Linked DNA regions of Drosophila melanogaster. Changing the gene in region 1 together with any one later gene gives a genetic interaction. Each region holds a gene or a part of one and is shown on either strand. Other genes may lie near its edges.

Region 1 (3,758 bases):
TTCGCTCAGTGTGCGGCACTGTGGCCCCCAATGTGTGATGGACGGATGTGTGACGACTTTCGGTCTTGTTGTCGCTGATGCGTTTAAAAATATAAGTACCGTGCGGCCAAATGGCGCCAAATGCATTTCGAATCGCTTTGAGTCTTGTCAAATGTGCAGTAGCGCAAGTAAATTAAAATGAATGTGATAGGAACTAAGAAAGTAGGGGATTCATGTATGTTCCGCGTTCACTGTTCACGCCTCGCACGTGTCATCGCGAAGTGAGCCATTGCAGCTGATCCCCAGCTCCTCGCCGCCCTTGGGTCAGCAGGAAGTGGGTCCCCTGCCCGATGGCCCAGTAAGTGCTTATCAAAGTGAGTGGCATAGTCAGAGGTTTGTCATTTCCACCTCCCCACGAGAAAGAACGACGGCGAGCTGAGTCAGCTGGGAAATTAATTAAGCGGGCGAGGCCAGGTGCAGATTGTTCAGTCCTGCAGCTGCAAAGATTACCCAGAACACGCGGGGCAAACGGTATGCCACTCCTGCTGCAACCCTCGACGCCCATACAACTCCATATCCTTTGCGCATGCGCGCGCATTCAGTGTGAGCAAGAAGAACAGAATGAACAGAGAAACGGGTCCAATAACTGGGAGAAACCACGAAACCATCCAGCCGAATGCATCTTTATCGACTTGGCCACAACAATTCTGTTTGCAGCTGCCGTCTTGGCATTTTAAGTGTCGCTTTGTTAGTGCACAGAACGAAATTGTATGTTATTAAGGGATCAGTCGAGCAGCACAAGGTGGTCTTCCTCTTTTTGGCCCAAAAGATGTATCTTAGCCGTTATGTAGCTTATTTCCCTTGGCAAATGCCGAACCAGTCGAACCTCAAGATATCTTGAAATATGTATCTACGTGAACTTTCAATTTGTTACTACCGCTCGGCTTCATTTTAGCTTAATTATGAAAACACCAGCTTGGAGGTCAATTAGCCAGAGTCACATCAAAACTGACAGACAACTTTTGTCGGTTTTTGGGCTGCAAGACAGCTACATACCAACTATAAAAGCCAAGAGTCAACTTAAACCTTCGGAATGCTTTTGAGTGTTAATGATGGCCATAAAAAAAAAAAATGAAAACAGCATATGTAAACCGACTTACCTTGATCGAAAAAAATGTTAATCCAACAATAGTTTGTGTTGCGAATCGTCGTCGTCGAGGTTGAGTTGTTGGAAAATTTGTTTTTTTGGGTGTATTCGAATTTTTCAGCCTTTATTATTTGTTTGGTTTCGGTTGGGTTATAAATATGTTTAAATGGTATCTGCTTCTGGAAACTGCACTTTGCTTGGCTCTCGCTCTCCCAATGGGATTGTATCTCTCGGATACGTTTCGTTTCACAACTTTTGCAGCATATAACGTATTTTTCACGCTCTGAACTACTTTTCCTATTTCGCTATGGCTCGGGTTTTGAAAGTTTTTCGTTGCTACTGCAATTGGCTTCGTTTTTCACTTAACACGATTTGTAGTTGTGGCTATTGTTTTGGTTTTCTATTTTTTGTTATTTCTTTTATTTTATTTTTTTTTTTTGGGGTGGTAAATCCAGTTTGCCAGTTGCAATCGTCAGGCGTACTGCGAAACGTATCTTTGTATCTGGCGGATGAGTGAGTAATGCGCACTGCAAATCTATATGAAGCTCAGAAATGTATCTGTGTCTGCGTTCTGCTCGCGCGCGCTCCACGTTCTCAACTGATTGCGATCGTGCTCGTGCAGCGGTTTTTGTTGACTGCGCTCTCTTCGAATTCGAGTTCGAATTTCGGCCCGGCTTCTCAGCTCTGCAGTTTCTCTCGACAACAGCTGTGGACATATTTGTAGATCGCGTACAGAAAGAAATTAGTATTAAAAGGACAATTAAAAGTTGGAAAAATTAAAAAAAAAAAATATTTTTACTTATTGCGTTAACTTTAATTTTTGTTCTTATTAACAAATGTTTAAGAATTTAGTTTTTGATATATGTCTATATATAAATATTTACCTAATTTATATAAATAAATCATATCAAAGTATAGAATTATATAGTTTATTACTGACTTAATATCGGTGAATATATTGAAAATTTTTAGTTTTTTGTTTCAGTGTATATGCAGACCCGCATTTCGAACAATCTTTCCTGCTTATTGAGCCAACAGCTAAGGTCAATGAAAAGAGGTTCTTTGGCTTCCAGAATGAAGGAAATACGAATAGTTCCTTGGCCTATAGAAATGTGGGTTAACTTTAGCTGTATGAACTTTTTTGTTCAAGGATTAAGGGATTTGAAAACAGACTTTATGGTATTTGTATTCTTATTTATAGGGGTATTAAGGAAACGAAAGATTCACATACAGCCAGAGAAAGGCAATCCGTCGGGTTAATCCCTGCATTCGAATGTTCTAAATATCTTTTCTGGAAGCTGTCATCGAGTGTCTTTGACACTTCTGTGCGCAGTTGAAAAAAAAGTATTTTAAGGAGTAGTTATTAAAAACATGTTTTGAAATAAAATGTTGAAATTAATATGTCATAAAAGAATATACAAATATCCATAACCTTTATATTTTGTACTTTTCCTATATTATTCCACGTTTTCTATGACTAGACCTTGACACTTAATTTATCACCATATTCATTAACAATTTTCGAAGATTTATCATGCACTTGTGCATTCATTAATTCTGTAAGTAACTAACTCATTAATTTCGTGGAACGTTCCTAATTATTCAGCCAGCATTGATCGTCGAGTAATTACAGGAAATCCTTTTCCTGCCGCGCACTAAAAAGCATTTCAATGTTTTGCGGCTGGCACGCATGCCAAGCGATATCGGGATACCTCTGGAGATCCTTTTTGGGGATTCGAATCGGAATGGTATAGCATATGGTAATACATACATATATATATTTATCTGTACTGTAGGTCAGCCATGTGTGCAGAGCTGTCAAGTGCGTGCTGGAATCCTTTTAACCATCGCGTGAGGCGGGATCATGCCGCTGATCGAGTTACGCCAGTTTTTACTTGGAAATTTTATCAGTAGTTGCAGGACCACGCCCACGGGCACGCGTACGCCCTGAAAAAGGTGCATAGGTGCAGGATCGATCAGCTGCACTCGAATTGCAGCGCAGATGCAGCAGCTACTCTTTGAAGCGGTGTCCTGTTGCGATCTCAAGTGCATCTAATGGCTTGTTTATCAGCAGTTGTCGATCGCCGGGCAAATAAATTGAGTAGGTACCATTTTCCTTAATTGATTGCGGCGTTGTTCTAATCATTTCTAATTGCGATGCGAAGGACGCGCGTAGATAAGGACACACGGAGAAAAATGTATACCCACAAAAAAATAATGTAAAATCAAGCAGAACTTGAAAAGTACTTTTGATTTTAAGAATATAATATAGACCATTTTATAATTTTAAGCTAGCAGTATCTTTAATATCAATATAAAAGTGATCAAGCGAATGTTTGAATATTTATTCACTAATTTTATAATCCTGCATGGGTTTTTTCCAAGTGCACATACAGTTAATCCCCGGCTCATCCTGTCCACATACGAACCCAAGCCAAAACAGCTGCCTTGCATCCAATTGCAACGTTTTTTCCCTATTGTCTGGCCAGGAATCGGAATTTGAATCTAAGCATTAGGTACGAGTATCTCGAAGGCGATAAGAATCGTCTTGGACACAGGATGTGCAATGAGAGTTGCCAAAAAAAACAATATATGTACATATATATATAATATATAATGCCGTTGGAAGGAG
Region 2 (3,758 bases), on another chromosome or scaffold:
GATTGGCTCAATTGGACGACTATTTGAACTCTGACCCCTGTGCGATCCTCATCGGCAGCTCTGCCCCTTCCGCCCCGTCCTCCTCCTCCGCCAGCCACCCTTTCACCCTGGAATTTCCCGATGGGCGACGCACCATGACCGAAGCTACTAATTTGGGCCAGTGATCGTCGCTGCGGCGATCACTTGGAAACGTCGTCATCGCCATCGCAGCTATCGACGGAAAAGATAGCACTTGAAAAAAATATCTCTATTATATTTCTTAATTAGAGTCACAATCTAAAAGTTCTTTAATGTTTCATATCACGAGGCTTACTCGCTAAACTATTTATAGCCATAAAAATACATGTTACTATTTATTACTTACCTAAATGCCCATTAATCTAGATTTTCTTTCAGTGCATACCCACGGAACTGAGCAGGGGCGTGCAGGGCGTGGGCGGGGTCGTCCGGCTGGTCGCCGTTTATGGGCATTTGACTTGAAATGTCAACGTAAACGTTGCTCGTTGCTCGGGGAGAAACTGGTTAGCCAACTGAGGCGACTGGAGACCCCAAAGCGGATGCAGTGCAACTGAGCGCATCTTCAGGCCCACCGACCGACCGACCAACCGACCGTCCAAGCAACCTGACGAGGAACCCCAGCCCCGCCCCCTTTCCAAAGAGATTTTCCGTCGCAGCCGAGCGGAAATGTTCCAACAATTTATAATTAAAGATTGCCAACTGGTTTCCATGAAGATCCAAGATTTATGGGATCGAAAACACCTATCAGCTAGCACCTCCAAACATTTTGTATTACAATAGAGCGCTTTTCCCAGGCGCGTGGCGCTTATTTCATTTTCGGCCAGGGGGTCGTATTCATAATTATTTCAAATGCTTGAGAGCATTATCGCACACTGATTAGAGTTCACGGAATTGTCTTATCTATGGTTTATGTGCAAAAAGCTCGCCAATAGTCACAATTGACAGCTAATGGGTATGGCATGCTCGATCATTTCAAGTTTCCAGTCACAATAGGTGTGTATGTTATCTAGTGAGAGAACGATCCCTTGGTATTTCGGCGCCCATGCTTCTGGTATCAGCATGAATCGTTTGTTTAAACTTTATCTTCTATTGATTAACAACTAAATCGAGCGCCCCACGCGAATTCGACGCCGCCCACAGACAGCGGTTGCCTATTGAGTTGTTTCGTAGTAAACTTTGGTGGGTTTTAAATTATTTAAATTATTACCTCTGCGAGCTGTTGCTTCTTTCGTTGCCAAGGAAGTGGATGGTGGATCTGTAAATGTTTACGCGCCTAATGATTTGTTTGTGGTCTTTGCACACACTCCTACTTCTCAGAGTATAATAACATAATCGAGATTATTATGGCAATTGTGGGGAATCTGGGAATTTTAAAAAATTACGAACATAAAATACGTATGTTAATTGAGATTATTGTGAAATTATTCCGGAATTGGAATTGGAATTTTGTGGCGCATGCAAGTCTCTCAAGCTCTGATATAAGATTGTTTATAAATATTGAAATATAATGAGCAGCTCAGGGGTGTCTTTCAATCGTTAAAACTTTAACTCATATAAGACTGGCGCATCAAAGCTTCACTGTACCTCAAAATATAGGTCCGATTTAAGATATAAATCTTGGACGCTAAAACGGATACGGATCAAAGCGCGACTTCCTTAAAAAATTATCTTATTTTCGTATTCTTCACCAGTTCTTTTTGAATTGTTTTTGCTGTATGTCGCTCTCTTTGCTTCTCTTTCTCTTTCGATTCTCTCTCCGCATGCGCCGACTTGTTCATGTTCGCCGCCTGTTCGAATCGAATCGGCAGTCAAAAAGAAACTGCCGTGCTGGGCGGACGTGTAGAAGAGTCGCTCCTGAAAGCAACTAGACATTCTGCTGTAAATGGCAAACTAATATGTTTTAAATTGATTAATTCACAATTAATAGAATTTAATTCGTGCGCGGCGTTGAGGAAATAAACGGTTCTTCTTAACTCGGTGTGTGTTTACATTGCCCGGTGTGTGTGTGCGCGAAACGGAAATAAAAAATAAACAAGAGCGACAGCAACAACGCCAACAACAACAGCAACATCAGCGAGAGCAAAGCAACGCAACAAGAAGTGCAAGCAAAAGTGAAAAGGAAGACGAAAGAGGAAATGCCAAAGTACAACAACAAATACACGAACAAAACGCCAGAGTGCAAGTGCATCGCGTGAGTGTCTTACAGTGTGCGTGTGCGTTTGTGTGCCCGCGTCTGCCTGTGTGTGCGTGCTGCTGAGGCGGCGGCGGAAGTAAAAACGCTTGACTTCGCCTTCTTCTTATTCATTTGCTCCGCTTTACGGCTGGCATTTGTCGCAGAACGAAGCGAAAACAAAAACAAAAACAGAGAGCCTGGATTAGCCCCAAAAGCACACAACCACCGCCCACGCGGCGCCCCTCACCAAAAGGAAACAGCAACACAAACAACAATGGCAACTTGGCGCGACGCCCTCTTCGTCATCAGCAGATAACAACAAGAACAACATCGAATTAACAGAAACAAAACCAAAAACAAAAATAAAACAAGAAAGCGAAGCAAAAGCTAAAGCATTCTGGGATCTGGACATATCCGCTTCCGCGTTGCTTCTGTCGCTAAAAAGCTCAAGAATCGAATCCGAAGCCCAACGCAAACAGACAAATTCACTCACTCACCTTACAGTACGTAACCACAGTGCACAGTGGAGCAAACAGGTGAGAATTTTGATAATTTGTATACTTTTTGTTGTGAACTGTTAAATTAACCATTGTCAAAATAGTAGCAGAAAAGAGTGTCAAAAATAAAAACATTTTTTCTCAATATGTAAGCACAATGGTTTTTATATCTGGAGTTCTTTTATATTCGTAATCGTGCAAGAATCGGTGTTTACAGACATTACCCCTGTATCACTCCATTGCCGTCGTTGCTTTTTTTTACGAATTGGTTAAAACACCATCTTTTGGTACATGTATTTCCCATAACTACGTCACAATGGTCATGGAAACAGAAAAGTGTCTTGTCTGAGCAGCTGATAAATAATTGCTCCACCTTAATCTGGCTTTGGTTATCTGCTGCATATGACTTCCCCACTTCGCTCCACCCGACGTCTTACAATGTCTGAGTTTTGGTCTCTGGTTGAGGTCAACAATTTGTCGGATCTACACGTGTAAACAGATAACTTGGGCTATATTTGGTTCGCAGTACACTCATATGAGATGGATGAAGACTCGGCAACAACGGTTTATCTAAGGTTTAGTTGATTTATTTGCCTGTTCAGAGGATCTGATTGTGGCGTTTTCATTTGGGGCTTGTTTAAATAATAAGAGTTACAATTTTATGGGGATCTTGGGAGTGGTTTTATAGTTTAATTATTGTTTTGTTATCTGATTGTTGCGCATAATTTGTTGTATGTTCTTCTTGTTTCCAAATATGATTAGATATTTCTTACAGTCTAGTTGGATTGTGATTAATTATTACCTGTGGTTGGTTGAGAACCATATGCAAATACTCATAGCTCAGTCTAGTAACAATATGATATGATAGTAATTTCTCTTCCCAAGCCCAGTGTCTTGACTCTCATTGTATGCACGGTACGCTTCACCGATTCCCTAGCATTCTACAATACGAACAAGATCGATTCACTTGGAAAATAGCCTCTTCTATTTTCACATTCCACTCCACATTACGGTACCTGGGTGCTTTTCGTAATGCCCGTTGCATCATATTGGCCAGGTCCGAGTTTTCC
Region 3 (3,758 bases), on another chromosome or scaffold:
TCGATTACCCAAAGCGATCGTTAAGTGAGAAAGGGAAAAGTATCGAAGAAATTATAAATTGCCGACAAAGCCGAGGGCCAAATACTTGAGATTTCGAGAGGGAAAGGACATAACAAGGAGAAAGTCAAACGAGGACAGTTAGCCGCACTAATTAACAAGCAGAATTGTTTATTTTTACAAGTGCCAAGTGGCCACTTTTTTTTCAGATCGACCGCCCTTTGTTTTCACAACTTGTGTTTTCCTTGGCTTTTGACATTTTGGTGACATACGGGACTGCCACCTAAAAAGACACACATGTAGATGCACAGACAAGGCCAACATATTAGGAACATAGGCTCTTTTTATGAAAGGAAGTGTAAACCTTTTTCTAGAATCAAAGTATGCACTCTACTTTTTAGAACCAGCGTTCTTGTGTCATAAAATTGTATTTAAAGTTATCCCAATCTATAATGCTATCGTCCGTTTTGCTTTTGAATTTGTTAATGCTGATAAAACATTTTATAGCTATCAACTTAACTGCAATTGTAACCAGAACACACACGACGCATCCCTCCCCGTCCACTTTCACCATTTCTCCCAGGGCGAAAGTGTCAAAGTGACATGCCCACTTTGTCGCTACCCGACTTAAAAAATGTCTCAAATTACAAAAATCACACAACAAGACGGTTTGTTCCTCGCACAGGATAAGCGGGATTAGTCAGCTTGTTAGTTAGTTTGGATCTCCGCGTTCCGTTTTTCAGGATCGCAGGATTTCCGTCATGGCAATTGGCAATCCGAGCAATACGTAATGAATGTGACGAACTGTCAGTTGTTTCGAGTTTCCTTGTCGCAGCCGCATTTTCTTTGCATTTTTTAGCGGGTTAATTGGCACTGACAAAGGTCTTGACTTTTGCCTGGGAAACATAACAATTTGTTGACATCTGTAAATATTATGGGGGAATTTTCCAGAGGACTAGCTTCTATCATACAGCGTGTGGAATTGTATATAATTACTAACGGAAAAATATCCCTGTTAACTTTTTGAATCGCCATAATCTAAATTTCATGATCATATCCTCTTGAATATAAAAAAATATAGCTTTACAAATAAAAATGTCTTGACTAATGCTTATAGATATACTATGTTTTCAAATGGACTTCTATAATATGTACTAAGCGAATTGTTTAAAATATGTTCTTCCCTTTACCGAAATAAATTCAAATTGCATATACATTTTAAATAAACTTGTAGTTATTTTCGCACTCTTTATTCATGTTTTTAGAGCACAGAAAAATTTCTCGAGCTCAAACTAATAAATTCCCAACGTCCCATTGCAATAACCTTGACTCAAGGTCCATGTCCTTGCAGATAAATAAGAAAGGAAAAACAACGGGATGCAACTGCAGAAAAAAAACAGAGACATAAAACTCACTCAAAACAGAATTGAGTGAGACACGGAACGTGTTGGAAACGAAATGGAACAGACGGAAGATGGAAGAAAACGTCAGAAGAGGAGATAACAGGAAATGGAATGCGACGACAACGGCGAAAAGTTGTTTAAAAAAAAAGACCAAGAAAAACCGCAAGCAAAACGTTGGCACTTCATAAATGGGCGAGAAAGAGAGGCAAAAATAAAAAGAAAGAGACCTCGCTATGGAGAAATAGAGAGGTGCGAGGGAGAAGGCCAAAAGCGCCGACATTTTTAATTGTAAATGAGTTATGACGCGTTCGTCAGAGAGAGAGGTGAGGCGAAGAAAAGAGAGGGGCGCAAGTTGCTGACAGCGCCGCCTTTCTCTCTGTCGCACGTTCACTCCCCCGCCGATTTTCCAATTGGAAAACGAGAGAGCGAGTGGCGTTTTCACTCAGAGTGTGCGGCTATAGGGCTATCCCGCTTGCACTCGTACTGGCGCGGCTCGCTGTAGGGTGGTCTCGCTTGCACACATAGGGACCATAAGAGGAATAACTGGTTTCCCGAGTTTTGCGCCTGCCGTCGTTTTTGGCTTCTCAGCGGCAACATTTTCCTGACACAATTCAGTTCGTCGTCGCCTGCCTTCCGTTGCGCACACACTCAGTCCGCGAGATTCTCAGTTCGCGTGCGCCAAAGATAAGCAAAAGAAAGCAAGAGAGATATAAAGATACAAGATACTTACACCTTGAAACATACACATACCCCTCGAGTTACCAAAGCTAAAGATGCATCTAGCTTTATAAGTGCCAAGTGTTGAAAAGTGACCAGATACAATACCCCAATACCTTTCCAAGGTATTCCCTAGTTAAAGCCCCATTAAGAACAACATCATACCCTTCAAAATGCTGGTTGGATCTCATCCGTATTTGTGCAACGGGGTGCCCGCCGCCCCTGCAGCACCAAATGCCAGTGGACAGACAACAACAACGGCTAGCAAAAGTGCCGCCGGCTCAGCGACGGACTTTTCCATCGCCGCCATCATGGCTCGCGAAGATGCCTCCAGTCGGGAGTCCTCCATTCGCAGTGCAAGTAAGTTCAGATACATATTGAAAATATCCTTAATAAGAAAGGAATTCTGTGGGAAGCGGCAGAATCATTAATCGGTTGATAGGAACAATTTGTTCTTAAAAATATATTTTTATGCATTAGAAATTTAATGCCTTGAATATTAAGCATTTCGATTATATAGTGATTTTTAAACAAGATTTTTTTAGGCTTAACAGACTTACAGCAAGATTCATTGATGAGATGTAGAATATCTTTAAGATACTTTCATTTCTGTAGTCTCAAATACCATAGGGTACTTTTGTTTAGAACTTCATTTGACAAGCTATAAGTTCCCTAATTCAACAATCTTTAATCATAGTAGGTAGTTGTAACTTTAGATATTCACTTATCTCCTAGCAGTGCTTTCTGTACAAAAACTTACTTAACATACCAGCACACAATAACTAGAAATTGCTAAAACAAAAATGGAATTTTTATACGATTAATTCAAATTAAACGTGATTAACAACTCAACGCCCAAGAAGAGAACCGCAAACTTGACCAGCGAATGCAAACATTATTAGCCACAAGACAATCGCTAATTGATTGCACAACAAATCTATTAAATTACTGTTGTCGCTTTGGGTGCGCAGAGTTCCATTTAATTGCTAATGACAATTAGCAGGCGTTCCGGCCACGTTAAAAAAGAAAAAACTAGTTCTCTCTGGCCGACGGCATTCGCAATTAAGTCGAGCCAAAGATCGCGAATCCAGATATTTGTTAGCAAACACTTGCAGCGCTCTTTTGTGGCCGATATTATGATAATATGCAAATTGTGCACAGCATCTAATCGCGCGGAATTCATATTTAACAAAGGCTGCTAATTATGTTAATTAATTTTCAACAATGTGCTTCATTTTATTAATTTTACGAGGCGCAGAAAATTAGCGACGGCCGAAATCAAAACAAAAACGCTACGAGGTGTTCGTATTTTACGATCTCTTTATCAAATATGCAGCTTTTTTAATTTCATATTTTGTTTTGTTTTTTTTGTTTTCTGTGGTCGCTTTCCGTTTTCCGTTTGCTTACTTTGCATTTTAACACCTACCGTCTGGGCTCACCTGCAAAAAAACCGGGCTGCTTAGTTCTCCCCATCATTTTGTTACCATTTTCGGCTTATGGAAAATGGAAAGCGTATGTGAGAGTTCGCCCATGGATAAGCCCAAAAATATTATTCATCAACTTTTGCGCACACACCTTGAACGAAAGCCCTCCGCTTTTGTTTATGCAATGGAAAAGAGCAATCGCAGCTAGAGTTTCGGG

Evidence for each region.
Region 2: of edl (region 1) and aop, changing one enhances a phenotype caused by changing the other (phenotypic enhancement), as found in Drosophila melanogaster (3 studies listed by BioGRID).
Region 3: of edl (region 1) and mid, changing one suppresses a phenotype caused by changing the other (phenotypic suppression), as found in Drosophila melanogaster (one study listed by BioGRID).

What each region holds. Positions count from the first base shown.
Region 1 is NT_033778.4:18,671,807-18,675,564, forward strand, and holds the start of edl (ETS-domain lacking), read right to left. Parts: upstream 1,731-3,758; 5' UTR 1,140-1,730; intron 1-1,139.
Region 2 is NT_033779.5:2,176,816-2,180,573, reverse strand, and holds the start of aop (anterior open), read left to right. Parts: upstream 1-1,819; 5' UTR 1,820-2,727; intron 2,728-3,758. UniProt on the Drosophila melanogaster protein: Ets-related protein that functions as a negative regulator of photoreceptor development acting antagonistically to pnt and the proneural signal mediated by RAS. It acts upstream of SINA to inhibit R7 development.
Region 3 is NT_033779.5:5,459,628-5,463,385, forward strand, and holds the start of mid (midline), read left to right. Parts: upstream 1-2,011; 5' UTR 2,012-2,290; coding exon 2,291-2,477; intron 2,478-3,758.